Ovis aries: one gene and its partner. The protein of the gene in region 1 interacts with the protein of each later gene in a biochemical or structural test. Links are inferred from orthologs where the notes say so. Each region holds a gene or a part of one and is shown in the gene's direction. Other genes may lie near its edges.

Region 1 (15,212 bases):
TTCCACTTTCCCCAGCCCTACTTACCCCAAATTTACTGCCTCTGGAAGGACATACTGCAGTGAGAATTAAAAAGAAAAAGCGGGGGGGTGGGGGGGTTGGGGTGTGAACTGCTTCTAGATTTTAAAATGGGTACTCCAAATAAGCCTCTGCATTTTTTGCTTTTTTAATTACCTTTCTCTCCCTACTACAACTGAGACAGGTGTTGGGCAACAGTTCATTCACCTCAGCCTTTATTTCTGTCGTTTTCTCTGGCTCTGTGCTGCACCTGTCGTCAGGAACTTTGGGGACAGGAGGAGTTGGTAGAAATAAAATATCAGCTGAAATTGCTCAGTTAATAAAAGGTGACCCGGGATGCCTGGTAAGAACAACTCCCTTCCCACTGCTGGGAGCTAAACACGTGTGCACTGCCCATGTTGGGTGATTCTTGCCTGGAGCTTGGCCAGCAAGAAGGAGATTGCAAACTGTGGTCTGCTGGTAGGGAATTTGAGTTTCTCTGTACCCAGCAGAGTCATTTTTATTGTTCTACTGCTGAGAAAATGTTTCCATCTGCCCCAAAGGCATGAAAACTTTGAACTTCATCTTTGTCTTTGAAGTTAGGGAAGAATAAATATATTTTTATCCAAGTGATACATAGAGATCCATCCCTGCTGTGGACTGTGGGTTTGGGTTGTCCTTTTCCATTTGGCCTAAGCACTCTTAATTTCTTTTTTTTTAAATTGGAGTATAATGGCTTTACAATGTTGTGTTAGCTTCTGCTTACAACAGCATGAGTCAGCTATCTGTTTACATATATCCCTTCCCTCTTGAGCCTCTCTCACACCCCGCTCCCATCCTGCCCCTCTCGGTCATCACAGAGCGCCAGGCTCGTCTCCCTGGGTTATACACAGCAGCTTCTCCCCAGCTATTTTATCGACAGCCCACGTCTGTATATCAGTGCTACTCTCTCAGTTCGTCCCATTTCCAGGAGAAATTGTGTGTGTGTGTGTGCACGTGCTCTCTCAGTCATATCCAACTCTTTGCAGCCCCATGAACCGTAAACTGCCAGGCTCCTCTGTCCATGGAATTTTCCGGGCAAGAACACTAGAGTGGGTTGCTATTTCCTGCTCCAGGGGACCTTCCAGACCCAGGGATTGAACCCTCGGCTCTTGTGTCTCCTGCACTGGCAGCAGCTTCTTCACCACCGCATCACCCGGGCAGCCCTTAGGAGAAGTTAATTTCTATTAATGCCATATGCAGCCAGTTTGGGCCAGCCAACAGTATCATCATTACAGTTAAATAACCTTGGATTGAAACAGGGAAGACTTGGTCAAGGGCGATCTGGACCCCAAAAAAGAGTTCACTATCATTTTCCTTCCTCCTATTAATAACAAATAAACAAAAATATTTCTCAATACAGAATCTGCTGTCTCTGGAGAAGTCTTTGCCTAAAGATTTGCCAGTCTTGTTTTGAAAGGCTAGCTCCATGGAGTCCCTGAATTACTGTCCTCTTAGTATTTTTGGAAATCCCAAGTTGGTTTCCTCCGCTGTGCTTCTGACTGCAGGGCACTTACATAATGCAGCTGAGCTGCACATGGCGTCTGATCCAAAGGGTGAGCATGAGCCGCTCACACAGGGCTGTGTGCTCTGAATGTCGGCCGTGTGAGCTCGGCTGGGAGCTGCCAAGGGTGAGCTGCTGCCCAAACACTGCCACCTCCAGTGCCCAGGCCAGTTTTCTCTGGAGTCGTCCCTCATTGGAGTAAAGAGAAACTGGCCACATGGAGAGGAGGGCTCTAGGGGAGCACAAAGGCCCAAGGTTCTCTCTGGTGAAAGAATGTGCCTGCCAACACCAGGGCGCTTTTGCCCAGCAGCAGCACTGCTCCACATTCCTTCTTGGCAGGCCTCTCGGGTGGTGCCCTAGCCGTGGCTGCAGTTTCTCTGCTTGGAATCTGGGGCTCCTGGAGGTCATCGTGAGACCTCCCTTTCTGGAGAAGCCCTCTGCAGGGCTTGACTGGGGGTTAGGGGAGTTGGAAGTAATAGCATTTCTAGAGGGCCAAAACCAGGATCTCAAAGAGAGGAACTTAAGTGAAAACAAACTAGAAGTCAAGGCAGGCAGCTTGTCAATAGAAGCTAGAAACGTTAATGTGCAAAGCAGTCACCAGGGGAGCTTGCTACAAATGCATATTCTGTTTCTGGAGGTCTCGGAGGGAGCCTGAGGTCCTGCATTTTGGCAAGCTTCTGGGTGACTCACAACTGTTTTGATCCCCCTCGAGTAACAAGGATTTGGTAGCAAAGTGTTGGCCTCAGTGTTCAGGGGGTGAGTACTGGTTGAGAGGCATTGGAGCCTGGTGGTTACGAATGCAGACACCAAGCCACACTGTCCAGGTTTGAATCCTGGTTATTCGTTAGGTGAATGATGTTACACAGATTACTTAGTCTCTCTGTGCCTCAGTTTTCCTCAACTGTAAAATGAGAATTAAATGAGGTGATGTATGTAAAGCAGGTAGAATAGAACCTGTGTGTGCGTGCTCAGTCCTGTCTGACTCTTTGCAACTGCATGGACTGTACCCCACCAGGCTCCTCTGTCCATGGAATTCTCCAGGCAAGAACACTGGAGTGGTAGCCATTTCCTCCTCCAGGGAGAATAGTACCTGGTTCACTGTAAATGCTCATGAAATGTTAGTTACTGCTGTTACTATTACCATCGTTTGGTTGCTGAGTTCGGAGTCCTGCCTTCTGCTGCCTGCCTTGGCTGTAGACTTCTCTTGTCAGAAAGGGTTCTCACTGGGTCATCTGTACTTCAGAGGTGCTGCAAGGAGTCTCTCCTTTTGATCAATGAGGTCTAGAGTCTTCCCCGGTGGTCCAGTGGTTAAGAATCCGCCTTGCAGAGCAAAGAACACACGGTGAGTCAATCCCTCGTTGGAGAACTAAGATCCCACGTGCCATGGAGCAACGAAGTCCAGGGGCTACAGCACTGAGCTTGCTCTCTCTGGAGCCCACACACCACAACTAGAGGGTCCATGCACTGAAACAAAAGACGGTGCAGTGAAGATGGTGTGGCACCTAATACCCCTTGCAGCCAAATAAATACATGAGGTCTAGAAATAGAGTCTACAGAAGGCAGCTGGAACCTTGCTTTCACGTGCATGCCAGTCCTGTTTGTAGCTTCAGCGTCCTGTTCAGCCTAGTGGACTGTGAAGGATGCGGGCCCCCAAGTGCAAGACAGGCACATTTCTGGGAGGCGCAGATGGAGGAGCCTCTGTCTAGAGGTTGTGAAGTCTGAAAGTCTCCAGTTACCCTAGGCATCCTGCAGGTGGCATGGAAGCAATCTCTCTTATTTCTCTCCTGAGAGGAGGGTGAGGCCTGAGAGGAGGCCAGCGCGAGTGCAGTGCAGTGCGTCACTGTCTCAGCTTTGCTTTTCTAAGGGTGTCAGTGCTCAAAAATAGAAATTCGCAGAGGCGGAGCTCTGGCTTTCAGCCTGTCAGTCTCCCATTGCAGCCTCTCAGAGAGTCCCTGCCTGCTCCTCAGCTAGCACAATGCTTCCGGCTGAGCCCAGGACTCATCTTGTGCCGGAATGTGGATCTCTGGCATTCACTGCCTGGGAGTGTCATATCAAAGACGTCAGAGGCGGCAGGGGGGCCTGAGAACAGTCGATGCTTCTGTAAGGCTCCCACAGTCAAGGGACTGTGCTGTGCGGCGGAGGATCCCCTGGGTTTCATTGTGCTCAAAGTAGACTCTAGTGACTCCCATTGTTGACGAGGCTGGGTGGGAGACCCCAGGGTAGGTAGCAGGAGGTGGCTGTGAACCAAGCTCACCTGCCAGGGCCTCTTTCCTGCAGAAGAGCAGGTCAGTGGATCACCTGGAGTCTGGTGTGTGTTCGTCATAACATAAGCTTACAAGAATCTCAGCCCCTGGAGCAGTGTCTGATGTGCTGCTAGAAGGCTTAAGGAAGAAAACATGGTTTGAGTCTGACCAACAGTGTCGGGTAGGAACCTGTCCCCAATAACTGTGATCTTCAGCAAATTTATTATCCTCTCTAGCTCATTTTCCTCATCTATAAAAAAGGGTAGTATTTTTCTTCAAAATGTGCTGAGAGAATTCAAAAGAAAACATGCTTAGCATCTCAGGCATATAATAGTACTGATAACATTAGTTGTCTCTAGAGAGGAGCATAAAATTCCCAGGGGTGCAGGAGAAGGAGACTTCTTTTACTGTGTACCCTTTTGTAACTTGAATTTTGAACCACATGAATAGTTAATCTGTTTATACTGTTAATTTAAAGATAAAATAGAGGTCATGAAATGTATTGATGGGGACTTACCTGGTGGCCCAGCAGTAAGACTCCATGCTTCCAATGCAGGAGGCACAGATTTGATCCCTGGTCGGAGAAGTAAGATCTCATATGCCCCATGGTGAGCACCCCTCCCCCACCACCAAAAAAAGTATTGATGAATTTCTCAGAAAGATGATCATGCCTAGCTGTTCAGTTCAGTTCAGTCACTCAGTCGTATCCGACTCTTTGTGACCCCATGGACTGCAGCACGCCAGGCCTGCCTGTCCATCACCAACTCCCAGAGTTTACTCAAACTCATGTCCATTGAGTCAGTAATGCCATCCAACCATCTCATCCTCTGTCATCCCCTTCTCCTCCCACTTTCAATCTTTCCAGCATCAGGGTCTTTTCCAATGAGTCAGCTCTTTGCATCAGGTGGCCAAACTATTGGAATTTCAACTTCAACATCAGTCCTTTCAATGAATATTCAGGACTGATTTCCTTTAGGATGGACTGGTTGGATCTCCTTGCAGTCCAAGAGACTCTCAAGAACCTTCTCCAACACCACCAAAAGCATCAATTCTTCGGCACTCAGCTTTCTTTATAGTCCAACTCTCACATCCATACATGACCACTGGAAAAACAATAGCCTTGACTAGACAGACCTTTGTTGGCAAAATAATGTCTCTGCTTTTTAATATGCTGTCTAGGTTGGTCATAACTTTTCTTCCAAGGAGTAAGCGTCTTTTAATTTCATGGCTGCAGTGATTTTGGAGCCCCCAAAAATAAAGTCTGTCACTGTTTCCACTGTTTCCCCATCTGTTTGCCATGAAGTGATGGGACCGGATGCCATGATCTTCGTTTTCTGAATGTTGAGCTTTAAGCCAACTTCTTCACTCTCCTCTTTCACTTTCATCAAGAGGCTCTTTAGTTCTTCTTTGCTTTCTGCCATGGGTGGTGTCATTTGCATATCTGAAGTTATTGATATTTCTCTTGAATCCAGCTTGTGCTTCATCTAGCCCAGCATTTCTCATGATGTACTCTGCATATGAGTTAAATAAGCAGGGTGACAATATACAGCCTTGACGTACTCCTTTTCCCATTGGGAACAAATCTGTTGTTCCATGTCCAGTTCTAACTGTTGCTTCCTGACCTGCATACAGATTTCTCAAGAGGCAAGTCAGGTGGTCTGGTATTCCCATCTCTTTCAGAATTTTCCACAGTTTATTGTGATCCACACAGTCAAAGGCTTTGGCATAGTCAATAAAGCAGAAATAGATGTTTTTCTGGAACTCTCTTGGCTTTTTCCATGATCCAGCGAATGTTGGCAGTTTGATCTCTGGTTCCTCTACCTTTTCTAAAACCAACTTGAACATCTGGACGTTCACAGTTCACGTACTGTTGAAGCCTGGCTTGGAGAATTTTGAGCATTATTTTGCTAGCATGTGAGATGAGTGCAATTGTGCGGTAGTTGGAGCATTCTTTGGCATTGCCTTTCTTTGGGATTGGAATGAAAACTGACCTTTTCCAGTCCTGTGGCCACTACTGAGTTTTCCAAATTTGCTGGCATATTGAGTGCAGCACTTTCATAGCATCATCTTTCAGGATTTGAAACAGCTCAACTGGAATTCCATCACCTTCAGTAGCTTTATTCATAGTGATGCTTCCCAAGGCCCACTTGACTTTACATTCCAGGATGTCTGGCTCTAGGTGAGTGATCATACCATCATGATTATCTTGGTTGTGAAGATCTTTTTTGTACAGTTCTTCTGTGTATTCTTGCCACCTCTTCTTAATATCTTCTGCTTCTGTTAGGTCCATACCTTTTTTGTCCTTTATTGAGCCCATCTTTGCATGAAATGTTCCTGTGGTATCTCTCATTTTCTTAAAGAGATCTCTAGTCTTTCCCATTCTATTGTTTTCCTCTGTTTCTTTGCATTGATCACTGAGGAAGGCTTTCTTATCTCTCCTTACTAGTATTTGGAACTCTGCATTCAGATGAGTATATCTTTCCTTGTCTCCTTTGCCTAGCTGTGCAGGTAATACATTTTTGTGGTCCTGTAAAGTAAACAGACCCTGAAAGCTCTCAGGCAATGGTCGTTTCCTGTCCCTGTCCCACGTTGATCCAGCCCTCAGGCCAGGTGGCTTGTGTTTCTGGAGTCCCATAGCCATGGATGCATGGGAGGGAATCCTCCAGACACATACCTTCTCCCTCTTGGGATGAGAACTTGATGGCCAGGGCCCTGGAGAGGCCTGAGGAAGGGGCTACCTGCCAAATGAAACGCTGGGGACCCAGCCCAGGCCATAGGGCTGTGTCAGGAGACACCCACACAGACCAGAGTGTGAGTGCGGAAAGACAGGGAGTCTGTCGGACCAGGGTGGATGAGACCTTCCAGGACAACTGCAGTCTTGTTCCTCTGCTGATGGGACCTCTGCCTACATACCACAGGACTGCCCTTGCTTCTCAGATGGCTCCCCCATCTCTTCTCCCTTGTGGTTCTCACAGTCCCCTAGTGATGGGCAGATAGTTACACCCAGGGCCTGAGGCCAAGAGGGAGTAAGCAACTTGCCTCTGATCGCGAGGAATGGCTCGAGTAGGAGCAGCTCACACTCCCCCAGGTTCCTCTCTTCTGGGGTCTGTACTGAATGCTCTTCTGCATTATTTGGCTTTCTTTTCTTAACAGTTCTATGCAATGGGTACTAACACCAACTGTGTATGACAGATTAGGGGGGAAGAAGCTAAAGGGGTTAAGTAATTACCTAAAGCCACGCAGCTAGTAATGGCAAAGGCAGGATTCAGCGGAGGTGGCCCTGACCCCCCACCACATCACGCCTGGACAAGAACCCAGGAGAACTGTGCTACTGGTTTGGCATAAACAAGGTTCTCGCCGCTTTGTTGGGAAGAAGTGGCTGTTTGTTATGTTACCACCAACAAGGACTCCGTGGCTTCTGCAGGTTCCTGCTTCAGTCTCTGGAAGATTTGGACAGAAGCTTAAGGAAACTGAACTCCCGCCTCTTTGTGGTCCGGGGCCAGCCGGCTGACGTGTTCCCGAGGCTGTTCAAGGTACGTGCGCAGAGTGCGGGACAAGACGGTGAGCGCCTGCCCCCCGCGGACTGAATGAAACGACGTTCTGACTGAGGAAGTGGAGACAGTCAGGGCTGGGCTGACCACTGCTGCTAGGGAAGCTGGGAGCGGATGGAGCTGGTCAGCTGCCCACAGAATGGAAACTGTGTTAAGGAAAACATCAGGGAATCTGGTGTCTTGCTGGAAAGTTCCCAGCTCAGTTCAGACATGGGATGTAGCGACTTATTTCACTCCAGACACCCCTGGCTCCCTTAACTATTTTCCTGGTTCAAGCCAGCAAGGTTTATTAGGGCTCTTCTTGCACCAGGAGTTTGAGGGTGAGGTTTCCTGTTTGTCTAGGGGCATTTCCCCTCTTGCTTTGCTCCTCTTATTGGGAAAAAAAAATCAGCCTCTTTAAGGGAGTGTCCCTACCTCCTCTGTAAATGATCGACAGAATCTTCATTTCAGTACCACATAGGCCTCTGGTTGCTGTATCAGGTAGCCAGCCCAGTTTCCCCCACAAACCCTTTATAATACACATTTTTTAAGACCCAAACGGGTCTTAAAAAGACAGACGTGCTCATGAACAGAGGGCTCTAGGACATCAGCACACAATTGTTTCTATGCCTCTCTGCACCCCGCTTCCTTTCCTGTTCTTCCTGGAGGGAAAAGACAAGAGGAAAGACTGAATGTCGAGGCAGGCAGCTGAGTAAATACTTCGGCATTCACTTCACCTCCCCACCTCCCCACACCCCCACACACAGACAAACATGCACAAATCACACAGTGCTGGTAAGAGCCAGCATTCACTGAGGGCTGACTGTGAGTCAAGCGCTGTTCTCAGTACGTGCTCTATGAACATTAATGCCTGTACTCCTTGCCGCTGCCCTCAGAGGTAGGTGCTGCTGTCCCTGTCCTGCAGACAGGGAAGCAATAGTTTGACCATGCCTGCGAAGCTCAGAGCAGCAGTCTGGGACCTGAGCCCAGGCTGTGAGCCCGGAGCTGTGTTCGTGACCACCATACCATTAAACACACAGGCCTCTCTTCTCCTGCTGCATTGCCCCACCTCCTAGCACCTCTGAGGCCAGCCCACTAATAGCCCAGAGATACAGACAGAGCGCCATTCTCTGTATATTATTAAGCTTCTGCTACGTGCGCAGCCCCATCCCGGGTCCTAGGATGATGAAGACTGAGGCGACACGATCACTGCTCCCAGTACTCACACTCCAGTGGAGGAAACTAGCGAGTAGTGGGTGGCTTCCCTGCCATATGGTAACTGCTGTGATGGAAAACGGGCAGGTGCCAGAGAATCTTTCTGAAGAGGGCCAAGGAGGCTTCTTGGAGAAGGTGTCATCTAATAGTAACCCTTGATTATTATTCATAGTTCATAATAGTATGAACTGCTAATCAGAATACTTAGCTCCTAGTAAGTACCCAATAAATGTTTAGTGCCAACCTTAACCTTGGACGAGAGATAAGCAGCTCTGCACAGGACCCAGAGGCAGCAGGGCCGAGTTGAGGCTGGACCGGCGTGTGCATGGCCAGGACACTCGCCCCAAGGGCTCAGGGTTTTCAGGGACCATGGCCAGAGACCTGGGCTGGAATGTGGTTCCCTCCTGCTAGCTGCATGCTCTAGGGCTTTCTGTGGGCTCCAGAAAGGGTGCAGCCTTTCACGGGGCTGCTTTCTCCCAGGTTTGCTAGGAAATACAGAGATTTCTACCAGACATAACTAAAGACCTGGAAAAGAATCCCCTTCTTTTAAAATATGTGGCCCCTCTGCTCTGATTTCTCTGACCTCTGGGCCAAGGGCGGCTGCTCCTTTCCCAGCTGTCTGAGAGCTGGAGCCTACTAGCTCTGTTTGCTACTGGCCGCAGGAGTGTTGCCATGGAAACCATGAGGACACTTCTCGTAGCACAAGTCTGCCAAGAAAACTAGGCCAGAAGTTTGCAGGGCCCCCAGGAGCTCTGGGAAAGGCTGCTGAGCAGGCGGGAGGTGGCGATCCTCTGCCTCTTTCTGGGACAGGGGGCTCCCCTGGGAGCGTGTATTTATAGCCTCCTGCTGTATTCTTCTCCCACAAGGACACTGGTGGCGCCCAGAGCTGCCCACCTCTCTCATGCCACAGGGACCGCCAGCCTCGGGCTCCACTGGTGAGGGCTGTTGGCCTCTCCTCAGGGGCCTGCCCTCCTCAAACCTCGAGGCCCTCAGATGGTTGGCTTTCTGGTTCAAGTCGTTGTCCGCAGTTTGTTCTGACGGGTCTCCCCACGTGCTTGGTTTCCTCTCGGCAGGGAGCTCGCCCGGCTTCCTTCTCCCCAGCAGTGGTGAGCATTACAGATTCTTTCCCCCACAGGAATGGGGGGTGACCCGCCTGACCTTTGAGTATGACTCTGAACCCTTTGGGAAAGAACGGGACGCAGCCATCATGAAGATGGCCAAGGAGGCTGGTGTGGAGGTGGTCACCGAGAACTCGCATACTCTCTATGACCTGGACAAGTAAGAGACGGGTCCCAGGGCTCAGCTCGCCCGTTGTGGGAGTTGGTGATTTGGGGCCCTGCTGAGCAGAACTCAGAGAGGTTTAGCAGTAGGGCCCCCTGCCATATGGGGCCTGGCGTTTTCTCGGAGCCGGGGGAGAACAGGTCAGAGTGGGGGCCCGTAGAGCTTACCCGATTTGGGTGCAGAGAGGCTCATTAGGCCCGAGAGACGCAAGCAGGGTGTCCATAGCTCCTCACACGCTCCAGGCCCACCCACCCCACATACTCCTGCTTCCATCCTGCTGCTCCGAAACTGCCCTCTGACCCCAGTGGGGCCCTGTCTGTGGCCCCTCCCAGTGGATCTCTGGTCTCGCAGGCGCAGCTTCTGTTCCCCAGCTGCGTTCCCTGGGCTCCCCTGGCTCTTGGGTTTCCAGGTCTCGCATTTAGATGTTGCCCCGGAGGCTTGAGAGATCGCTGCGGGGCCCTGTGCTTTCAAAGAGGCCAGGAGGAAACCCCCTCCTCCCCTTCCTTCCCCGCCAGGGCTGTCCCTCTTGGGCTGCTGTCGCCACCACGGCTCCCCGCCCGCCTCCCCCAGACCGGTGGTGGCTGCTGGGAGGCTGGGTCACACAGCTCTGCATGTGAGCTGGGCTCCCGGGGGGAGGCGCTGGGTGTGGAGCGCCTCCTTCCGCCACGTGCCGGAAGAGGCGGTGGCGGGAGGCCCTGCCGGGCAGCAGCCAACCTTCTGCCTCCGCTAACGGAGGGGAGGAGAGAGGACCTGAGAGAGGGACTCGCCGGCAAGTCCGGGCTTGCTGTCAGCTGCTGCTTGGCCAACAGGAGCCCCAGGAGTCTGGCTCCCGCCCGTCCGAAGTCATTGTTACATAAACAGCCTCAATTCGCCTCTTAAACACTCCTATAGTTTTTCTTCTTATCTGAGTGCAGCTGTGTTTTTGTAAACTGCAAAAAACCCTTTAAGATTGAGTTGTGACTATGAACCCCGAGCCTCCGATTTAGGGAGGGACAGGCTGTTCCCCTCCTCTCTGTTCTAGTAACTAGGGCCCAAGGAGAGAATGAATTTCCAACCAAGGAACCCGTTTGCAGCTCTTATCAAAGAACTTCCTGGAGGCTTATGCTGGGGTAGAGACAGTCCACAGGGCGCCCTGTGGCTTGGACAGGCAGGCCAAGGACCGTGAAGGCCAGTGGGGACTTTTCTGTGACAAGAGAGATATGGTCAGTCTCTGTCTTTAGGCGGCTCCACACCGGCACCAGGGAACCTGGAATTGAGGCCCAGCTTTGGCCCTGACTTGCTCCATTACCCGAGGCATCTGCTCCAGCAGTCTGGGCTTCATTTCCCTCTCAGTAACATGGAGACGTAGCCTCCCTTGCCCCCTCCTTTCTCCCTAGGGGTGGGACTCAGAGCGGATGAGGAAGGCCACCCTCCAAGACTGCACAGTCTGGGCTCTTTTCTGGGTGGGCAGGAACCTGAGATGAAGGGCCTCGTGAGTGACGGCAGGCGTCTTTGGGATTCCCAGGATCATTGAGCTGAATGGGCAGAAGCCACCCCTTACCTACAAGCGCTTTCAGGCCATCATCAGCCGCATGGAGCTGCCCAGGAAGCCCGTGGGCTCCGTGACCAGCCAGCAGATGGAGGGCTGCCAGGCCGAGATCCAGGAGAGCCACGATGAGACCTACGGCGTGCCCTCCCTGGAGGAGCTGGGTAAGTACTCCTGCCCCAGCCCCTCACACTGTCACGTCCTTTTTCGTTTTGTTGTTTTTTTTTTTTAAACCAGCTTTTTTTTTTTTGTTCTTTTTTTTTTTTGTCAAAGTGATGCATGTCATTGTGGACACTTTAGAAAATACAGAGAGATGAAAGTGGAAATAGCTGTCACAGTTACCTACCACTGATCATTTTACAGCAGTCCTTCTGGTCTTTTTTCCTGTTCATAGTCACATGTTCAGCTTCTGTTTCTAGTTCATGACTAATTTTATACTTTTACCTCTCAGACGATATAGACATAGCCTGGTGTTGGCATCAGTGGGCTTCTCAATACCGACATAACTGGTATTGCTTCTGATGAAAGGGGCTATGTCAGCCTTTCTCCCCTTCCCCACCTATCACACATTTTTTTTTGATCTGAATGAAGTTAGCCTTTCTCACCTAAAAACCACAGCTGTAGCCAGCCAACCTGCCAGGGCCAGCCATATAAGATTGTTCTCACCTGCCTATGATGAGACATGGCTGAGATGAGGGAGGCAAGGGAAAGGAGAGAAGAGGTCACAGTGGGAAGAAAACCTGCATGACTTAGAAAACATCACTGAGGAAACATTAAGGATTATCTCAGTGACTTCCCTGATAGCTCAGACCGTAGGTAAAGTGTCTGCCTACAATGCGGGAGACCCAGGTTCAATCCCTAGGTTGGGAAGATCCTCTGGAGAAGGAAATGGCAACACACTCCAGTACTCTTGCCTGGAAAATCCCATGGAAGGAGGTAGGCTACAGTCCATGGGGTCCCAAAGAGTTAGACACGACTGAGGGACTTCACTTCGCTTGGCGTTAGTTCTCTTAGCACCAAGAACACCATAGTTCAGCTCGCACGGAGCTCAGAGAACAGAGCCGCATGTGAGAACTTGCTGCACCATCACCAGACTGACCTGACCCCCAGTCCTGTGGCCCTGCTACCCCTCTGTAGGATTCCCCACTGAAGGGCTCGGCCCAGCGGTCTGGCGGGGAGGAGAGACGGAAGCACTGGCCCGCCTGGATAAGCACCTGGAACGGAAGGTATGGCCCCCGATGCCGAGACAGGGCTTCAGATGCTGACACCCCCGTGCAGCCAGGGGGATGGAGCCAGGTTCATGTCCCTGAGTGCCTCTTAACTCAGGCTGGTTGGTAACAGCAGTAAGAGCAGCTGCCATAAGTGAGTGCTTATCCCATGGGCTGGTCACGGGGCTGAGCGTTTCTAGGTCTAGCACCTGCTTGTGCTGTTCCCTTTCATTTTCCCATCTGCTCTGCAAGGTGGATACTAAGCTCTCCATTTTACCAGTGAGGAAGTCAAGCCTTGCCTGAGGTCACACAGTTTCTAAGTAGCAGAGTGAGACCTTGTTCTACTCGGTTCTAAAACTTGGGCTAGATTGCCTTTTTTTTCATTGGTGTGTCCCCTTCCTAAGAGGTCAGTGGGTAAGAGGTCAGATGTTCTCTTACTCAGAGGATATCTGGTAGTAAAGTGTAGAAGATTATTTTGTGTTTCCGTGTTCCCCACCCCTGCTCGCTTTGGCTGAGTCTCCTCCGAGGCACTGATTTCCATTTGCTCAGCGCAGAGCGAATGGCCCACCCCCCAGTGAAGCGGGAATTGCTCAGAGGTAAGAAAGAGGCTGAGAGGCCCCAGAGGAGGCCCTCACAACGTCCCTCCCACCTACACCTCCTGGGACTACAGGAGCAGAGACTGTTCTCAAGAACAGTCACTCCTGTTTCCTGCCCCCCTGCAGCTGGTTTATAGACTGGGTCCCTAGAATCACAGCGTGTTCTATTCCTGCTCAGGTAGTGGGCATTTGGCCCAGCAGCCAGGTGATAACAGTGCAGGAAGGAGGCTAAGACAGCCCACTTGGGAAGAGTGCTCCCCAGCCCAGGAAGTACCTCACCAGCAGTGAAGGCGGGTCATGGGCCTAGTCTCCCCAAGGCGCAGTGGCCTTGAGGTCCCCATTTGGATCTTACCATCAGACAGGGCCGAAAGCAAGCCCCAGCCATTTAAAAGGAGGAACATTGATGTCCAAGATCTGTGAGGGAACCAGCCGTCTTTGCCCACATTAGCTTTATGCAGACATCCTTGTAGTCAGTCTGGAGACAAAGGCTGGGCCGAGGGGGCAGAAAGGGGAGCCTATGTCAGAGCCCTTTAGACTCAAAGATGATCTTGGGGAATACTGTATTTTACATATCTGGGAGAACACAAGGTGCCTGATGGACAGGAGTTTAAACCGTTTCAGGAGGTTTATTTCAACTTCACTTCTCCAAAACTGAAGTGAGCATTTTCTTAGGTCAGGACAGTCTAGCTACTAGAAAGCCTTCCCAGCACGACAGACATAGAGTTTAAAACATAGTCTATAGCGATGACAGACGTGAAACAGGGAAGTAAAGTCCATTCAGGGTGAGGAAGGGAGTGGTTCAGAGGGTGGTGAAAGTGGGAGAGCAAGAGGACTGACTATATTGATCAGTTCTTGTTTGCAAGATGGCTTTTGAAAAAGGAATTTTTCTTAACTCATATACCCAAGAGTCCCAGGATGTAGCCTTCAGGCATAGCTGGACCCAGGTGTCCAGCTAATGCTACTTGGAATGCATTCTCTATCTCAGTACTGCCTTTCTGTGTATTGTTTCATTCTCAGGCAGGATTTCCTTGAGTGGTGGCAAGGCTCGTCACCAGAGGCTTATTTTCAGTGTGCTTAGTACTACCTGAGAAAGTTTCCAAAAGCTTCAGAAAAAGTCCCAAGAAGTGTTTTCCTTGGTCTGGCTTGGGTCATGTGACTGTCCCTGACTGTCACTAAGGCCAGGGAAGAGGGTGCCCCCTTACCTGTTCAGACTTGAATCTGGGAGTGAGCCCGCTCCCAGAGTCCAAGGTGGCCTTAGCTCTACTTTACCCAGTTGAACTGAGATTAGGGAAGGGGTGGGTCACCACAAGAACATTAAGTGCTGTTACCAGAAATAGGGGGCCAAACAATATGATCTTTACCAGTGGGTTACCCAGTAGTAGCTGAAGGCAAGCATCTCTCCACAAAAGTGTCCCAGTTATTAAATGAAAAAGGAACAGAGGAATCTTACAGCCCCTGGTGATTCACTAATGACTGCTAACACCAAGGATAGTGACTGTCAGGCATGTTTCCCCTGTAGTCTCGCCAAAGACAGGAAACCTGAGTCCACGCCAGTCTCTGGTACCAGCCACCAGTTTGCAAGCGGCACACAGGCCAGAGGAGTGTGCTGAACTGCACCCGTAAGAACACAGGGGAATCCAGATTGTGGGACTAGTGCAAGTCAAAGATCTTGAGTTCCTTTATAAGAAATCTAAAAGGAAAAGAAGGAAATGGCAAGAAATGCATAGAATAGAATAAATAACACGTTGAACTCTCTTACATGACCAAGACTAAGCAAAATGTGCCTACGGATGTACATTTGGATGAAAAAAAGAATAGAAAACACTTTAAAAATGCAAGGAATGACTGAAAAGGTAAAGCCCTCCCTCCCAAATGTGCTTTGGAAAAACAGAAGAATGTTAACATTTTAAAATGCTGGGACCTGATTATTGACAGAGTTGGGCCGGTGGTTATTGATGGAGCAGGGAAGGAACCTGACTGGCGGAGCACGTAGGTGGGCTTCTGGGGTGGCCGGCAAGGTGCTGATTCTTGAACTTTGGTGGTGGTTGCAGAGGCATTTTCCTTAGAATAATCCAT
Region 2 (15,814 bases), on another chromosome or scaffold:
ATAAAAGAGAGCATTTGTTGAAGGCTTACAGTGGCCAGTCACTGTGCAGTGCTTGAGTGTCGTGCACAGAATCTGCTTCAGCTTTGTCGCTCAGTTGTGTCCGACTCTGTCAAAGCTCAGGGCTGCTGGTATGATCTGGATCCTCTGGTTCATATCAAACTCACCTATGAAAGCCCTCTTGTCCCTCTCTGATTCACCTCTTAGAATTCTTCCTCCCCTGCAATGTAGATCTTCCCATCTACTCCCCAGGACAGGTTTATTATACGTGCAACATGGCTGAAGTCCAGCTTGCTACACCGAAGTCCTGTCCTGTCATGCTCTTTCACTCTTTGAAGAAATATATATTGAGCAAGGAACTCTTCCAGGAGCCTAGGATCTGCAAGTCAGCCAGACTAAGACTCACGGTGTTTATTATATCTGAGTGGGATGTTACACAACAGACGCGCAAAATATAATTTGCCAGGAGGTGATATGTGCTGTGAAAGAGGCAAAGGAGGTCAAGGGGGCTCCAGAGTTGTTTTCACTGTTTCATCCTAGTTTTATTTATTTTTTTGGTTTTGGGAGTTCATTGTTGAATTTGATTAACTAATATTTCTTTCTGAATTTTTGTACTTATAAGAGAAATGGTGCTTCAGTTTTCCTTTCTTTGGGAATCATGAATATACTAGCTTCATAAAATGACCTGGGCAGCTTTTCCTCTTTATGCTTTTTTCTCAGACAACTTGCAGCAGGACTAACTCTTACTTGGAAGTCTGGCAGGGCTCACATGTAATTCCATCTGTGTGTGTTTGTGTGCTCAGTTGTTCAGTTCTGTCTGACTCTTTGTGACCCCATGGACTGGAGCCTGCTAGGCCCCTCTGTCCGTGGGATTTCCCAGGCAAGAATACTGGAATCTAGTTATTTGGAAGGAAAGGGCTTTGCTAATTACATCAATGTTTATTGATCTATTCAAGTTCTCTACTTCTTCCTGTCAATTTTGGCATTTTATATTTTTCTAGACTTTGTTTCAGCTAGGCTTTCTATTTTATTAGCTAATAATTATTTACAACATACTTTATTATTTTGAATACCTATAGTGGCTACATTCGGAGAAGACAATGTCACCCCACTCCAGTACTCTTGCCTGGAAAATCCCATGGATGGAGGAGCCTGGAAGGCTGCAGTCCATGGGGTCGCTGAGGGTCAAACACAACTGAGTGACTTCACTTTCACTTTTCACTTTCATGCACTGGAGAAGGAAATGGCAACCCACTCCAGTGTTCTTGCCTAGAGAATCCCAGGGACAGCGGAGCCTGGTGGGCTGCTGTCTATGGGGTCACACAGAGTCGGACACGACTGAAGTGACTTAGCAGCAGTAGCAGTAGCAGTAGCAGTGGCTACATTAATATGTGTTCCCCCTTTAAAAAATCCTGTATTTTGCTAATTTGCAACATTTTCTTAATCAGTCTGACTAGAGTTGTATCTACCTTATTAACTTTTATTTGCATGCTTCCTTGTCCTCCACCAGCTCCTGGAGTTTGCTCAAACTCATGTCCATTGAGTCGGTGGTGCCATCCAACTATCTCATCCTCTGTCATCCCTTTCTCCTCCGGCCCTCAATCTTTCCCAGCATCTGGATCTTTTTCAATGAGTCGGTTCTTCACATCAGGTGGCCAAAGTATTGAAGCTACAGCTTTAGCATCAGTCCTTCCAGTTGAGTATTCAGGGTTGATTTCCTTTAGGATTGACTCGCTTGATCTCTTTGCAGTCCAAGGGATTTTCAAGTCTTCTCCAGCACCACAGTTCAAAAGCATCAATTCTTCAGCACTCAGCTTTCTTTATGGTCCAACTTTCAGATCTGTACATGACTACTGGAAAAGCTACAGCTTTGATTACAGGGATCTTTGTCAGCAAAATAATGATTCTGCTTTTTAATATGCCGTCTAGGTTTGTCACAGCTTTTCTTCCTTATTTTTTCCCTGTCTTGTCTTTATTATTTATTTCTCTTCCAGTTATCTACTACAGTATGACGAACCACTCATTACTTTCTGATTGAAACAGTTGTTTATTATTGTCTGTTGGCGTTCGCTAAGCGTTGCCCTGATCTTGGGTGGCCTTGGCCTGCAGCAGCTTGGAGTGGGACCTGGGTTCTTAGCCAGGGATTGAGGTCGGGTCATGGTGGTGAAAGCAGCAGGGCCTAGCCACTAGGCCAGTGGTCAGTGACAAGGGCTCTGACCCTTTGGCTTTGCAGAAAAGAATTTCCACAAAGACGGAAAGTAGTGAAGCAAGTATACAGTACATGGGGATAGGCACATGGGCAGACTCAGAGGGAGAGTCCCTGAACTGCGCCCTTGTGGCAGATTGAATCACTTTTACAGGGTATTTCTTCCTGGCTTCCTTTGGCCAGTCATTTTGATTTACCGGGTTCACAGTCCATATTTAGTGTATCTCAGGATCCTCCCACATGAGCACGGGCATCTTTTAGCTAAACTAGATTCTACCAAAGAGGCTGTGGGAGCCTGGCATTAGTGAGCACCACTGCTCTTTGGCCTCCAAGGAGTCTTTCTGTGCATGTATGGTCCGGGAGGTCTCCTTACTTCGGAAAGGAGAAGTATGTGGTCTGAGCAGGGCCCAGCCTCCTCCCTTAATTGCCCTGCTGTTCTTGTCTTGGAGTTTCAGTCGATAGAGAATGAATCTCCAATTGCTTTATCCTGGGGAGTCCCATCTTCCTCCGGCCTCAGCCCCATGAAGCTTTGTTCTCTCCCATTTTGGTGGCTAGTTCTAGCACACTGACCAAAGAATAAGCATTGACTTGGAGATATTGATTTTGAAGACAGATTTGAGGCAATTAGAAAGGCTTCAGTACAGAAAAATAAAAATAAAATAGAGGGAAAGTTAGGAAATAGAGAGAGATGAGAGGCAAACCTCCATGCAGACATATCCCAAATAATATATGTAGATAGTCTCACCTCAGGAGATGGAACATAACTTTCTCCAACCTTTTAGTGTGAGGTGAATGCAGAGACTTCCTCCCAAAAAGGATAGTCTGGAAAGGGAGAAAAAAAAAATTTACATTTCTTGACTTAAAAAAAAGCACAATGGGAAAGTTGCAAGTTAAGCTTCATTTGGGGGAAAATGAGGACTGCAGCCTAGGAGACAACACCTCAGATAGCTCTGAGAAACTGCTCCAAAGAGGAGAAGGTCAGTATATATGTGATTTTGGTGAAGGGAGAGTACATGCAATCAAGCACGTATTTTTTCCAGAAGGTTCCTGCTAGTCTGGTGAAGCTTTCTGCTGGTCACAAGGAGCAGCCATCACCATGAAAAATTTTAGTGCTGTTCTAGACAAGAGGGGGCTTCCCAGATGACTCCCGTGGTAAAGAATCTGCCTGCCAGTGCAGAAGATACAAGAACTGTAGGTTTGATCCCTGGGTCGGGAAGATCCCCTGGAGGCGGGCATGGCATCCCACTCCAGTATTCTTGCCTGGAGTATCCCATGGACAGAGGAGCCTGGCAGGCTACAGTCCATAGGGTATCAAAGAGTCAGACATGACTGAAGTGACTTCACACGCATGTATATTAGATATAAGGAGGTATAAGAATTGGGCTCATAAAATCAGTTCCTGAAAATATCCGAAGACCTGTTATGCCAGATTTTCCCCAGAGCACAGAGTGCCTCATTTCTGTTCTCCACCCTGACTCATTTCAGAGGGTCTTGAAAATCAGCAGCTGCAGCAGCACATGATTTAATCCTGGTAGAGACAGATGGCAAGTGCCAGTTTGTAGTTGATCTCAAACTCTGATGAATGTTAGCCTCAATAGAGAGAAATCCTTTGAGAGTATGTATCCTTGATATGATACGATGACAGTGATACTTTATTCATGTGTGTCCTTCCTCTGAAATACTCATAACCTCAGTCTGACCATGAATGAGAAAACAAGAGGCAGACCCCAGTTGAGGAACATTCTACAAAAGTCTGGAACAGTGCTCCTAAAAACTGTGAAGGTCATCGAAACAAAGAATTATGAGATGGTATTGAAAGAACTACTCAACATAACCTAACCTAACCTGATCATCCCAGCAGATGGGTTACACTATCTGCAGAGAATTTAAAAACAATAATAAATCTGACTCTTTGTTGGTTTGTTTTTTATTACCGCTTGTACCAACAATCCTAAACTGGGTTGGTAACAAAATATTCTTCCTTGCTGGACCAGATTACTCAACAGCCACCCTCTCCCTTCCCCAGACAGTGTCACCGATCTTGAAAAACAGAACTGAAAATTTTAAGTATTGACTAATTTTGTATCTATTTATGGCTATGCTGGGTCTTCCTTGTACGCAGGATTTTCTCTAGTAGTAGCAAGTGAGGGCCCCCTCTAGCTGTGGTGTGAGGGCCTCTTATTGCGGTGGTTTCTCTTGTGGAACACAGGCTCTCAGGCGCACCCCTGGTTTCAGAAGTTGGAGACTAGAGCACAGGCTCAATACCTGTGGCACAAGGGCTTAGCTGCTCTGCAGCACGTGGGATCTTCCCAGAACAGGGCTTGTACCTGTGTTTCCCGCAATGGCAGCAAGATTCTTCACCACTGAGGCACCAGGGAAGCCCTCGACTAGTTTTAAAATAAGCACAAGTTGCTTTTTGCAAAAAGGGAAAATAAAATTTTTAAATAACAGTAACAGGGAAGGAAAGGAAGCATTAGATATTGGTAAAGTGAGCCAAGGTCCCACCCTTGTCTTTAGGGAGAGAAGAGACTGTCTTGAGGCTTTAAAAGGGGGCTACAATTGGAGTATGAACGTTTTAATGAGATACAGTGTTTACTAGTTATGTTGACTGGTTTAATGTGTTTTGCTGATCGTTTATTCTGTTAAAGTAAGTTTAAATAAATATGTCTGTATTTGACTTGTGTTTCTTCTTGTAACTATTATCATTGCCCTTCTTCCTCTTGTCCTTCCTCATCCAGTCAAGGAGGAACCTAAAAAGCGTTGCAGTGCAGGTCCAGACACATTATTTTGTTGCTAGACTTTGTTCCCTTTGACTGTTGATCTGATGGCCAGGCCTTAACAGAAAAACAGTGGCATTTTCCCACAATGACTCTCACCATACTTTTACCCACGCCTTCCTAGCTCAAGTTTAGGGGGAGTAGAAGAGTGCTGGGATGCCTGGTTTTCACTGTCTTCTAGTCTCTTACACACCGGGCAGATCTTTGACAAGACATCTATGATGAAAAATTATTTTTGAGGGGAATGGGGATGGTGCATGATTCAAGTTAGATTTTGCACCTAAGGATAGTTTAAGAAAACCCAGTATCCCCAAATCCAAACTTTGAAAACAAGCTAACCAGGTAGCAGTTACACACAAAGATGCCTCTACTTACAAAAGCCTTCACCGGAGTTTTCTTTTATCCGCCATCGACTCCCTTACACTATTCTTACTGTGTTTCAGAAAGCTATTTACAAAGCAATTTACAAAGGAGTCTGTCTACTTTATAAAGGCGATTTTTAAAATATCACCCGTCATCCCAGCGTTAACAGTGTCACCATTCTGCTTTAATGCCCCGCCATGTAACACCTTATGTATACAAGATGCATATTATCGTAGTATGCCAAGGATGGTCTATTTGGTGTGTATTGTTACAAGCTGTGTTTTACCTCCTCCCGTGACGTGAGCGGGCGTGGCCATCGGAGGCCCAGCCTCCCACGCGGAGGTGTGTCCGCTGCCGCAGCTAGTTTACAGGTCGGCCAGAACCAGCTGCAGCCCGCCCCAGGGACTCTACTTTCTTGTAGCTGCTCCGCCTCCCTAAACTTTCCACTTTGCACCGCAGTCTGTTAGGCATCTAGCTGGCTCCAGCCCCCCTCACGTTCGGCTTCAAGACGCAAAAACAAAACAAAACAAAACAAAACAAAAAACCTACAAGCCGCAGTCACGTTTCGGGGAGGAAGGCTGCCGACACTCCCCGGGGAACCAGGAGACCGAGCCCCCAGCCGTGCGGGACGGAGCGCGCTCCCGCGTGGGTGCGGCCCCTTCGGGTTCCCCGGCTCATCCTCCTGGAACTCGCCGCGGAGCACGCGCGCCCGCCCCCCTAGGCGGGGACGCGCCGCCGGGAGAAGCGCGCGGCCGCGAGCCCGGGCGCCATTTTGGTTTCTGTCTCTGGGCCGCGGCGCCGAGAACCTACGCGGTGGCTGCAGCTCCCTGCAGCCGTCCCTCTCCCGGCGACGAAGGAACCCAGGAGAAGGACACGGATGGCGCGAGACTGAGGAGGGCGGCTTCTCTCCGGGCAGCCAGAGCCGCAAAGGTGGAGCCGCGTTGGCGTCCCCCAGGCGACCAGCGCTTCGGATGCGGGCGGAGCGCGGGGGGCCGCGGCGGCGGGAGCGCGAGGCGCGGGGCCCGCGGGGCCTCATGTGAGAGCCGCGGGACCAGCCGCCCCCGGAGTCCGGGGTGGAGCGTGGGGGAAGCCGCCCGCGGCAGCAGGTAACGCGGAGGGCCGGGGCCGGAGCCTCGCGGCGGCGGCGGGAGCCGGGTAGGGTCGCGGAGGTGGGCGGGCCGGGGGCGGAGGGGGCCACGGGGACCCGAGAGTGCGCGGGCCGCCCCTCGAGAGTGCGGGGCGGGACGGGGCGCTGGAGCCCGTTTGGGGGCGTTGCCCTGCGAACCTGCTTCAAAACATGTCAACAAGGCGTGGTGCGCGCGCGGCGCCCGGCGGCAGCCTCCGCGCGACGCCACCGCCGCCGCCGCCGCCGCCGCGCCCCGGGCTCGCCGCGCCTGGCGCCCGGCTTTGTGACTCGGCGGGGCCTGGTGACCGACACCCTAGAGCTCGCGCTCGGCCTGGCTTTGAGAGATGAGAGACATTAAGATGCCAAAACAGACCGCCCGGGGTAGGGCGGCAGACAAGTCTGGGAAAGCCAATTCGAGGAGGTGGCGCGGGAGGAGGGCAAACCTCGGACGCGCGTAGCCAAGTGGAAAAGTTGGTCAACTTGGAATGAGCAGCTTTGCCCCTGCTTTGAGCGAGAGTAGCTCTTTTAGATGAAGTTGCAGACAGGGATCAGGAAAAAGCCTATTAAGTGATTGGCCTGCATCACCGTGCTTAGAGATAAGCAGTTATTTTGTTGCTGAACGTGTCAAGTATCTCTCAGATCTTTCAGAATCTTTTTTTTCTTCTCCTGAAATCTTTATAAAAATGCCATCAACTCCCAGTATCTACAAATGATCGGTGAACCAATTTTCACCACCCCACTCTCTAATACCATCTAGTTCTGAGAGTCAGACTATTTGCACCCATTTGGTCTTTGTATTCCAGCCGAAGAATGCATGGCAATTATTAGCCAAAAGCAGAGCATAAATGGAAAGGAAATGTGATGCCAAAACAGGCTTTTTAGAGCTGAATACAAATGAGCTTTTAAAATTACTATGATCGCAGTGTACTAAAAAAACAACGAAGGGCACATAGCCAAGTGTTCTCTTAGGCTCTTCATCTGATGAACAAAGTGACTACTCCTTTCAGAGCGTATGGAAATGTGAAGAGTTAATACCATAATTCTCTGTGCTGCTCGATCAGGGTGGAGTCTTTCGTCATTCGTTTGTTTTTTTGATGCTCCATAGGAGTATCAGTCTCAGCGAATGCTTTTAGTTGAATCGATTTTTGGGAGCCTGGAAAAGTCGCATTTTGAAGTGAACTGCCAGAGTTATGAATTGGCCTAGTTTGGGTGCTCTCCTAAATCTCAGAGAGGTTGATCATCCATCTTCTCTGCACTCAAGTTCTAGTGTGAGAGGGGTTTTCACTTTAACTAAAAGTAAGAAGTCGTCCATTGATGTAAATTCTTTGCAGACTGGTAGATCCTCTAAGTTGTTTAACTTTCTTTATATCAGAGCTTCATGTGTAAATAGATTTAATAAAATACTTTTGAAGGCAGTGCAAATTTTTGCATGAATTGTCTTGGAAAAGATTTGACATTAACATTTTTTCCTAGGTGCCCACTATGATCTGATGTTTTTACACATAAATGAGGGTAATACAGAGACATTTGTATTGGCATTTGGTTTTAATTTTTTTTTGTTGTTGCTTTATATACTGTAATTCTGACATACTACAGCAGTCAAATGTGACAGTTTAAAGACTTCAGTTCAGCTAGTTAGAGACTGTTGTTTAGTTGCTAAGTCATGTCCTGCTCTTGCGACGCAGTGAACTGCAGGCTCTGTCCATGGGATTTCCCAGGCGAGAATACTGGAGTGGGTTGCCATCTCCTTTGCCAGGGTATCTTCCTGACCAGGGATTGACCCCACATCTCCTGCAGTGGCAGGTGGATTTTTTTTTTTTTTACCACTGAGCCACCAGGGAAGCCCTCTTTTTAATATGTCAGCTTTTTTTCTGTACTCCATTTGGAAAGATATTGAAATGTACTTCTATTTAAACCAAGGATGCAGTAGACAAAAGAAAGTATGTTGTTAGAACCAGCAATGTATTAGCAGAGATAATTGTGTAAATAAGGTCGTCGTTTTGTTTATGTATCTGTATGAATCGTTCCATCTTTAAATTGAATAGTTCTGGTTTTAGAAGACTTTTCTCCAGGAATAGAAGATCAACAGTCTGTAGTGAGCGGTAGAAATTATAAAAATAACTTCATTCTTTTTTGAATCTCAGTATCTCAAAATGCTGAGTAGTTTTAGGTAGTCAGAAGAGAAATTATAAACCCTGGGTAGCAAACTCTTTGTTCTTTGACCCAAATTTTGTATGCTAAAATTAAAGTACGCCTTCAGGATAAGTTAAAGCAGAAAAATGGGTCATAATGACAGTGTTATCTCAGCCTTTAGTGAGACATTATTCCTAGGAGAGTATTTTTTGTTTTAATACTAAAGATGACATTATAGACTATACATCTTTTCTCTAAACATATTTGAAAAACGTATTCTTTGTTTCGCATGTAAGTTTTAGTCTTCCATAAAACTAGCCTCTTGCTATCATCTCTCATTGTTTTCCCTTTCTCTCCCTCTGCGTAGGGGAATATGCATCATTTACTTCACTTAATGTATAGTTGGAAGTAGGAGTAATGAGGAATAGGCAGTTTATTGCGCATGTCCTTAGACCTCCTGGACTGATCTTAATGGCATGAGAGCCAGGGTCCTCTGCTTCCAGTCCTTCAGAGTTAGCTACTGGAAAGAAAGAGTCTGCACAGACGTATTTGGTTGAGAGCCATGCATGCTGTGTGTTTGTTCCACACAGGAATCAGAATTCTGATGTACTGATGTGCCAGGAGAAGGGAGTTGGAGCTACAAGCCATCCTGTGTGAAAAAGCTGTGACTCTAAATCCAAACTGTACCTGCCAGAAACTGCTCTCTAGAGACAAAAGAATCGCAGGCTCTGAACTAAATAGAGGTACCAGTGAGTGGACTGCAGTTGCCCTCATTTAGTTAGAGCCTTCAGTACTTAAATTTCCAGATAAAACAAGACCTTTTATCTGATTGCAGTGTAATTCATTGACATTAACAGGCATGTGTAAAGTTTAACAAAGCATATTGCAAAAAAAAATCATTATTTAATCCCACCACAGTTGTTATACCACAATTATGAATATAATATTATACAGTCCCACTCTTACAGTTACTATATTAATGTGGTAATCTATTTCCAGTGTGTTTTTCTCATACATGACCTTGTAGTCTCACACATTCTCATATATACTTCATGTTAAAATAAATTTAGGATCATTGTTTGCCTTCTGGCTGGAACCTCTGTTTCTACTTTAATGTTCTTAATACAAGACTACTTTCCTATACCTGAGTTCAGCAGCCATTGATGTCTCCTTTCAAAAGCCCTGCTGCTGCTGCTGCTTCTAAGTCACTTCAGTCGTGTCTGACTCTGTGCGATCCCATAGATGGCAGCCCACCAGGCTCCCCTGTCCTTGGGATTCTCCAGGCAAGAACACTGGAGTGGGTTGCCATTTCCTTCAGTTCAGTTCAGTCGCGTCTGACTCTTCGTGACCCCCATGAATCGCAGCATGCCAGGCCTCCCTGTCCATCACCAACTCCCGGAGTTCACTCAGACTCACATCCATCGAGTCAGTGATGCCATAATTCCTCACAAGATCCCAGTGTGTTTCTGTTATCCCCATTTTACAGATTGAAGCCCAGGAAGGTCAAGTAATTTGTTAATAGCCACATAAGCAGTGAGAGGGAGAGCCAGTGAGCTACTGGCTCAAACTACTATTTTACGCCATTCACTGGTGGCTCAGATGGTTAAGAATCCGTCCACAATGCGGGAGACCCCGCTTCGATCCCTGGGTTGGGAAGATCCCCTGGAGAAGGAAATGGCAACCCACTCCAGTATTCTTGCCTGTAAATTCCATTCCTGTTTTACAACACCACCAGATCCAAATGGAATGAAGGCAGTACCAATACATAGAATAAACACTCACTTGTCATTCAGAAATACAACTTGGATAAAACATTGCAACAACTAGTGAAGTGTTGGAAGAAGCAGCCACATTCCAGAGCAAACTATGCACAGAGATGAGGTTGCTCGTTTTAGGCAAAGATTGGGTCTGGTAGTAACACACATGGCAGGCTACTCACTGTGGAAAGATCTGTCAATGACTTCATTCAGATGCTCTCTGAACGTTCCTGTGGCTCCGTCTGCCGTGAATTCAGAAACTCAGATATAGTAGGTATCCTTTGATGACTTTCAAGAAATCTTGAGGAGATGTCCCTGTAAGTTCTCTTTTGTATTTCTGAATAGTTGACTGCCAGGGTCCAGCCCCGGTGGATCCAGGGAATTCGAAGGGTAGACGGCGTTGGCGAGGAAAGACTTATTGATTGATTGATATAAGATTGGATTAAGAAACAATAGTGTAGTAGGAAAATTAAGTGGAGAAAGAGGGCTGAATAACTTGGATTACGCAGAAGACCAATAAAATCCCAGACAAGGAATTTGCACCATCTACATTGGGCCACCGGTGCTCGCTTGAATATCTAAGGGTGCCTCGCCTTAGGCTCCCTTTCACGCAGGTCTTAACAGCCAGGGGAAGTAAGTAGACTTGGCGAGCCTCCGTGCCCCAGATGGGAATTCAGCCTGAAATTATAGAGGAGAGGGAGGGAAAGGGAGAAAAGGAGAGAGAGAGAGAGACACACACACACACACACAACACAAAGTTAGACAGGAATTCAGCCTGAAATTATAGAGGAGAGGGAGGGAAAGGGAGAAAAGGAGAGAGAGAGAGAGAGAGAGAGACACACACACACACACACACACACACACACACACACACACACACACACACACACACACACACACACACACACACACACACACACACACACACACACACACACACACACACACACACACACACACGGGAAACCAGTCCAGTGACTAGCTCCGTCCTCTGTTGTTCAGAAGGCCTTTTATACTTTTGATAAAACATGGAGATCAGTGGGTAACACAAAGTTAGACAGCGTTAGCAGCCCAGACTCTTATCAAAACCAGGCTTTTCTCTCTGCATACCTAATTGTATACACAAGTCTTAGGTAATTTACATCATCTTCCAGCCAAAAGGGCCAATTAACATTTTACAGCCTTTTTTCTGATAAGGGTTTGTCAACCAGAAGACTTATTTGTGTTGATCTTCCCAAAGTCTGGTGCCAGTCTCAGAAAGCACTAAATAAAGTTACATTCTTACATAGCAAGGACACAAGAGGAGTGCAGTGATATATAACAGAGAGAAAAGTAATTATCTCAAAAGTCTAGTGTTGCTAACATCAAAACTACTATATATCTTTTCCATATCCCATTTACATTGATTAACATCCTCCCAGGTGCCTAAAAGATAAAGAATGTGGAGGCCTGGCAGCAGTCATTGAGTCAACAGTGAAAACCCTCTACCAATATGATTTTTAACTCTTTAGGAAAGGCTCTGTATCTTTAAGACGCTTTTAAGCTTTGTGCCTCTCGCGGTTGGGGGGCTGGAAGCAATTCACAAGCTGTAAAAGGTCCAAGGAACCTGTTAGGCAAGCTAGAGAGTTATCAGAGGGGGTTTAACTGAAACATCCCTTTCAAATGCAGAAGACTAAAGCCATGAATTGACTTTTTTCCAGAAAATATCAGAAAAGTGGAAAAGCAGAGTACAAAAGCCGGCAGATTTTTTTTTGGGGGGTACATGCTCAGGAAATTCCAGGGGGACCCCTGAAGTCTGATCACGACCTTGCGTATGTCAGCTTCCTTCCTCATGACCTTGTCACAGGCTGGATTCCTCACACTGGCTTCCTGCAGTAGACTACAACTTTGGAAATATAAATGCATGGTTTGGTTTCAAAGCTATGATAAACTTCTTCCCCACATAGTACAGTGCAAATACACATGCTTAAAAGCACCTGCCAAAGGTGTAAGGTTGTGAAATAGCAGTTGGTCTCTACTGGTGTTTTTTTTTTTATTATTATATTTTGCTTTGACGTTCTCCCTGAATGTCTGGTCCAGTTCTCCTGCGCGTTTATGTTTTTATTTATAGGCACGTGTACAGAAATCTCGGTGATAGAAGAATGAATTTTGGATTTATGTCTGTTGAAAAGTTAAGTACAAAAAAAGAATGATGAATTTTTTTCTGAATAGGATGAAACGAGGAGGAGGAAGAGATAGTGGCCATGATTCATCAGAAGAAGGTATTGCCGAGAAATCCAAGAGACTGCGGACTGCAAGTGAGCATTCTCAGACTTGTGATTGGGGTAATCTCCTTCAGGACATTGTTCTCCAAGTATTTAAGTATCTGCCTCTTCTTGACCGGGCTCATGCTTCACAAGTTTGCCGCAACTGGAACCAGGTATTTCACATGCCTGACTTGTGGAGATGTTTTGAATTTGAACTGAATCAGCCAGCTACATCTTATTTAAAAGCTACACATCCAGAGCTGATCAAACAGATTATTAAAAGACATTCAAATCATCTACAATACGTCAGCTTCAAGGTAATACTTTAAATCATTCTTTTTAAAAATAAAGTGTATTTAGTGGCTTTTGTGGGGCCTTCCCAGGTGGCGCGAGTGGTAAAGAACCCACCTGCCAATGCCGGAGACAGACTCAGGTTTGATCCCTGGGTTGGGAAGATCCCCTGGAGGAGGGCATGGCAACACAGTCCAGTATTCTTGCCTGGAGAATCCCATGGACAGAGGAGTCTGGAGGGCTCTGGTCCATGGTTTATCAAAGAGTCGGACATGACTGAAGCAACTTAGTATATATGCATGCAGTGGCTTTTGTGTCCTAAACTGATACATTTTCCCTTGTTTTTAAACTATTGCCTTTTTAGGGAAGGTGCTTAAAGATTTAGAGTAACTGTGTACCTTAGAGGCTGTCACAAATAACCGTATTGGGCTAAATTATTCCATTTTATTGTAAATCTTAATCATTATTTTAATAATTTCTTGAAACCAGAAGCAGCCATTAAATAAAGATAAATCATATACTGAAACTGTCACGTTGAATTATTATGGACAAATTTGAGCCCAAAGAAATATATGTTAGAAGTAGAGGTTTTTATTAAAGCTTCATTTTAATAAAATAAAGTCTGAGTTTTGTTTATTGATGGCTTTGTGATAATGGAGTTCCTTAAAGAGAAAGGAGATACAAAAACTATATATTAAAAGTTTAGATGAATGTATTTTAGAGAGAAATAGAAAAAGGTACATGAAAGATGCCAAAGAAAACTATTTCTTTTCTTTGCTAGCAGGGACATACTAGAAGTTAGGCAGTAATGAGATAAGTGAAGTGAGGTTGCTCTTTGAGAGGTTCAGAGTGGTATAAAGAATCACAGTGGTGTATGTGAGCAGGCTTGTCATGTTTTGTTCTGGGGATGAATAATGAAGTGTGGATATGTTCACTAAGTCCTTAACACATCCTGTAATTACTGTTGAAGTAACACATGAATACCTTATTTGCCATATGCAGCTGATGTTAAACAGGTCAAGTTAAACCCAGATACTGCAGTGATTCTTAACCCAGAGATCCTTGCCAAAACTAAAGTCTCTCCCAAGACTGTCATTCTGTATCAGCTGGAGATTGTCTGTTTATTCTCTCATATGTGTCACAGGAGTAGGAGAGGCCTGATGTTGGGAATGGTTGGGTGTCTTAGGGCCATCTTTCCAGAAAACTGCACAAAGACACTTAGACCACCGAGTGAAGGATTGCTAGGTTTAGCAAGTCAAAATAAGGGATGCCTAGTGAATTTCAGATAATCTGTGGCTAATGGTTGGTGTAAATACCCCTTGCATCATTTAAGTAAGTAAGTAAAGTCGCTCAGTCAGGTCCAACTCTTTTTGACCCCACGGGTGGTAGCCTACCAGGCTTCTCTGTCCATGGGATTTTCCAGGCAAAGATACTGGAGTGGGTTGCCATTTCCTTCTTCTTGCATTATTTGGGATATCTAATGCTTAACTAGATGACTTGGATGTTATATCTCAACCCTAGCTGAGGGCAAGGCTAGGGGAATGGTGGGAGGATAGAACAAACGAAAATTCAGGAACTCCTCATGTGTTGTCCCTCTCTTGCCTGCCCATGAGGAAACCTGAAGAGCCTTCTCTTTGGTTTCAGTCATCTTTGAGTTGTCTAAAAGTGTTCTTATGGTAAATCCTATAACAAGTATAATACATTAATCTCCTAGGTTTAAAGACCAATTCCATCCAGTGGGTTGGCTGTTTCAGTGTTAACCTGTGGCACAGCTCAGCTGTATCCAACTTGTATAACCATCATAAAATCATTTCTCCTATAAGTTTAAGCATTTTTTTTTTTAGGGATCGTTTATTTTTCGGAGGAAATTTCTGATTTGCAAGAACACACCCCAAGATCCTTCTGAGCTCTCCTGATAATATTTGTGTTTAATTCATCACTGACTGTAGGCCAGAGAATCTTGTAGTCAGAGTTATTAATGTAAAATTGTGGTTCTTAAACTTTATGTGCATCAGAAATGCCTGGAGTACTTCTTAAGACAAGGATTGCTGGGTTCCTCCCCACCCTCACCCCCGTTTCTGATTCAGGTAGTCTGGATTGGGCGTGAGAGTGTGCGTTTCTAACAGGTTCCCTGGTGATGATGTTGCTATTGGTTCAGGACCACAGCAGTACTCAAAAGAACCACTGATATAGAGAAGCTTAGCCAAAGAGTAAAAGTAGCTCTGAAACTGTAATGTAAATTGGTGCATCAGTTTTACAGCAGGATCTCCAGAATATTTTTGAGTTAAGGTAAGGTACATCGGTCTGGAAATTAAAGAAATGATGTTACTTTTAACTGCACTGTTTAAGATGCTTTATAGCCTGGGGGACAACTTCCTTTTTTGAAAGAAGAGCTCCTTATGTCCTCAAGGAGTGTTTTGGTCCTGTTTCCCTCCCCCCAGGAAAGGTCTGTGCGGAAGAGTGTATGGCCGCAGTGTGTGGGCACTGCTCGTTTGGCTCAGGTTTTCTTTTTTTTTTTTTTAATTATTATTATTTTTTTTAGTTTTTTATTTTTTAAATTTTAAAATCTTTAATTCTTACATGCATTCCCAAACATGAACCCCCCTCCCACCTCCCTCCCCATAACATCTTTCTGGGTCATCCCCATGCACCAGCCCCAAGCATGCTGCATCCTGCGTCAGACATAGACTGGCGATTCAATTCACATGATAGTATACATGTTAGAATGTCATTCTCCCAAATCATCCCACCCTCTCCCTCTCCCTCTGAGTCCAAAAGTCCGTTATACACATCTGTGTCTCTTTCCCTGTCTTGCATACAGGGTCGTCATTGCCATCTTCCTAAATTCCATATATATGTGTTAGTATACTGTATTGGTGTTTTTCTTTCTGGCTTACTTCACTCTGTATAATCGGCTC

Evidence for each region.
Region 2: the proteins of CRY2 (region 1) and FBXL3 form a complex in vitro, tested with the Homo sapiens proteins (2 studies listed by BioGRID, with this or other methods). The link is inferred for Ovis aries from reciprocal best matches to the Homo sapiens genes CRY2 and FBXL3.

The regions. Positions count from the first base shown.
Region 1 is NC_056068.1:74,812,462-74,827,673, forward strand, and holds part of CRY2 (cryptochrome-2), read left to right. Parts: intron 1-7,205; coding exon 7,206-7,314; intron 7,315-9,661; coding exon 9,662-9,804; intron 9,805-11,311; coding exon 11,312-11,496; intron 11,497-12,469; coding exon 12,470-12,558; intron 12,559-15,212. UniProt on the Homo sapiens protein: Transcriptional repressor which forms a core component of the circadian clock.
Region 2 is NC_056063.1:52,740,322-52,756,135, reverse strand, and holds the start of FBXL3 (F-box/LRR-repeat protein 3), read left to right. Parts: upstream 1-6,112; 5' UTR 6,113-6,449; exon of another isoform or gene 6,450-6,498; intron 6,499-12,570; 5' UTR 12,571-12,571; coding exon 12,572-12,922; intron 12,923-15,814. UniProt on the Homo sapiens protein: Substrate-recognition component of the SCF(FBXL3) E3 ubiquitin ligase complex involved in circadian rhythm function. Plays a key role in the maintenance of both the speed and the robustness of the circadian clock oscillation.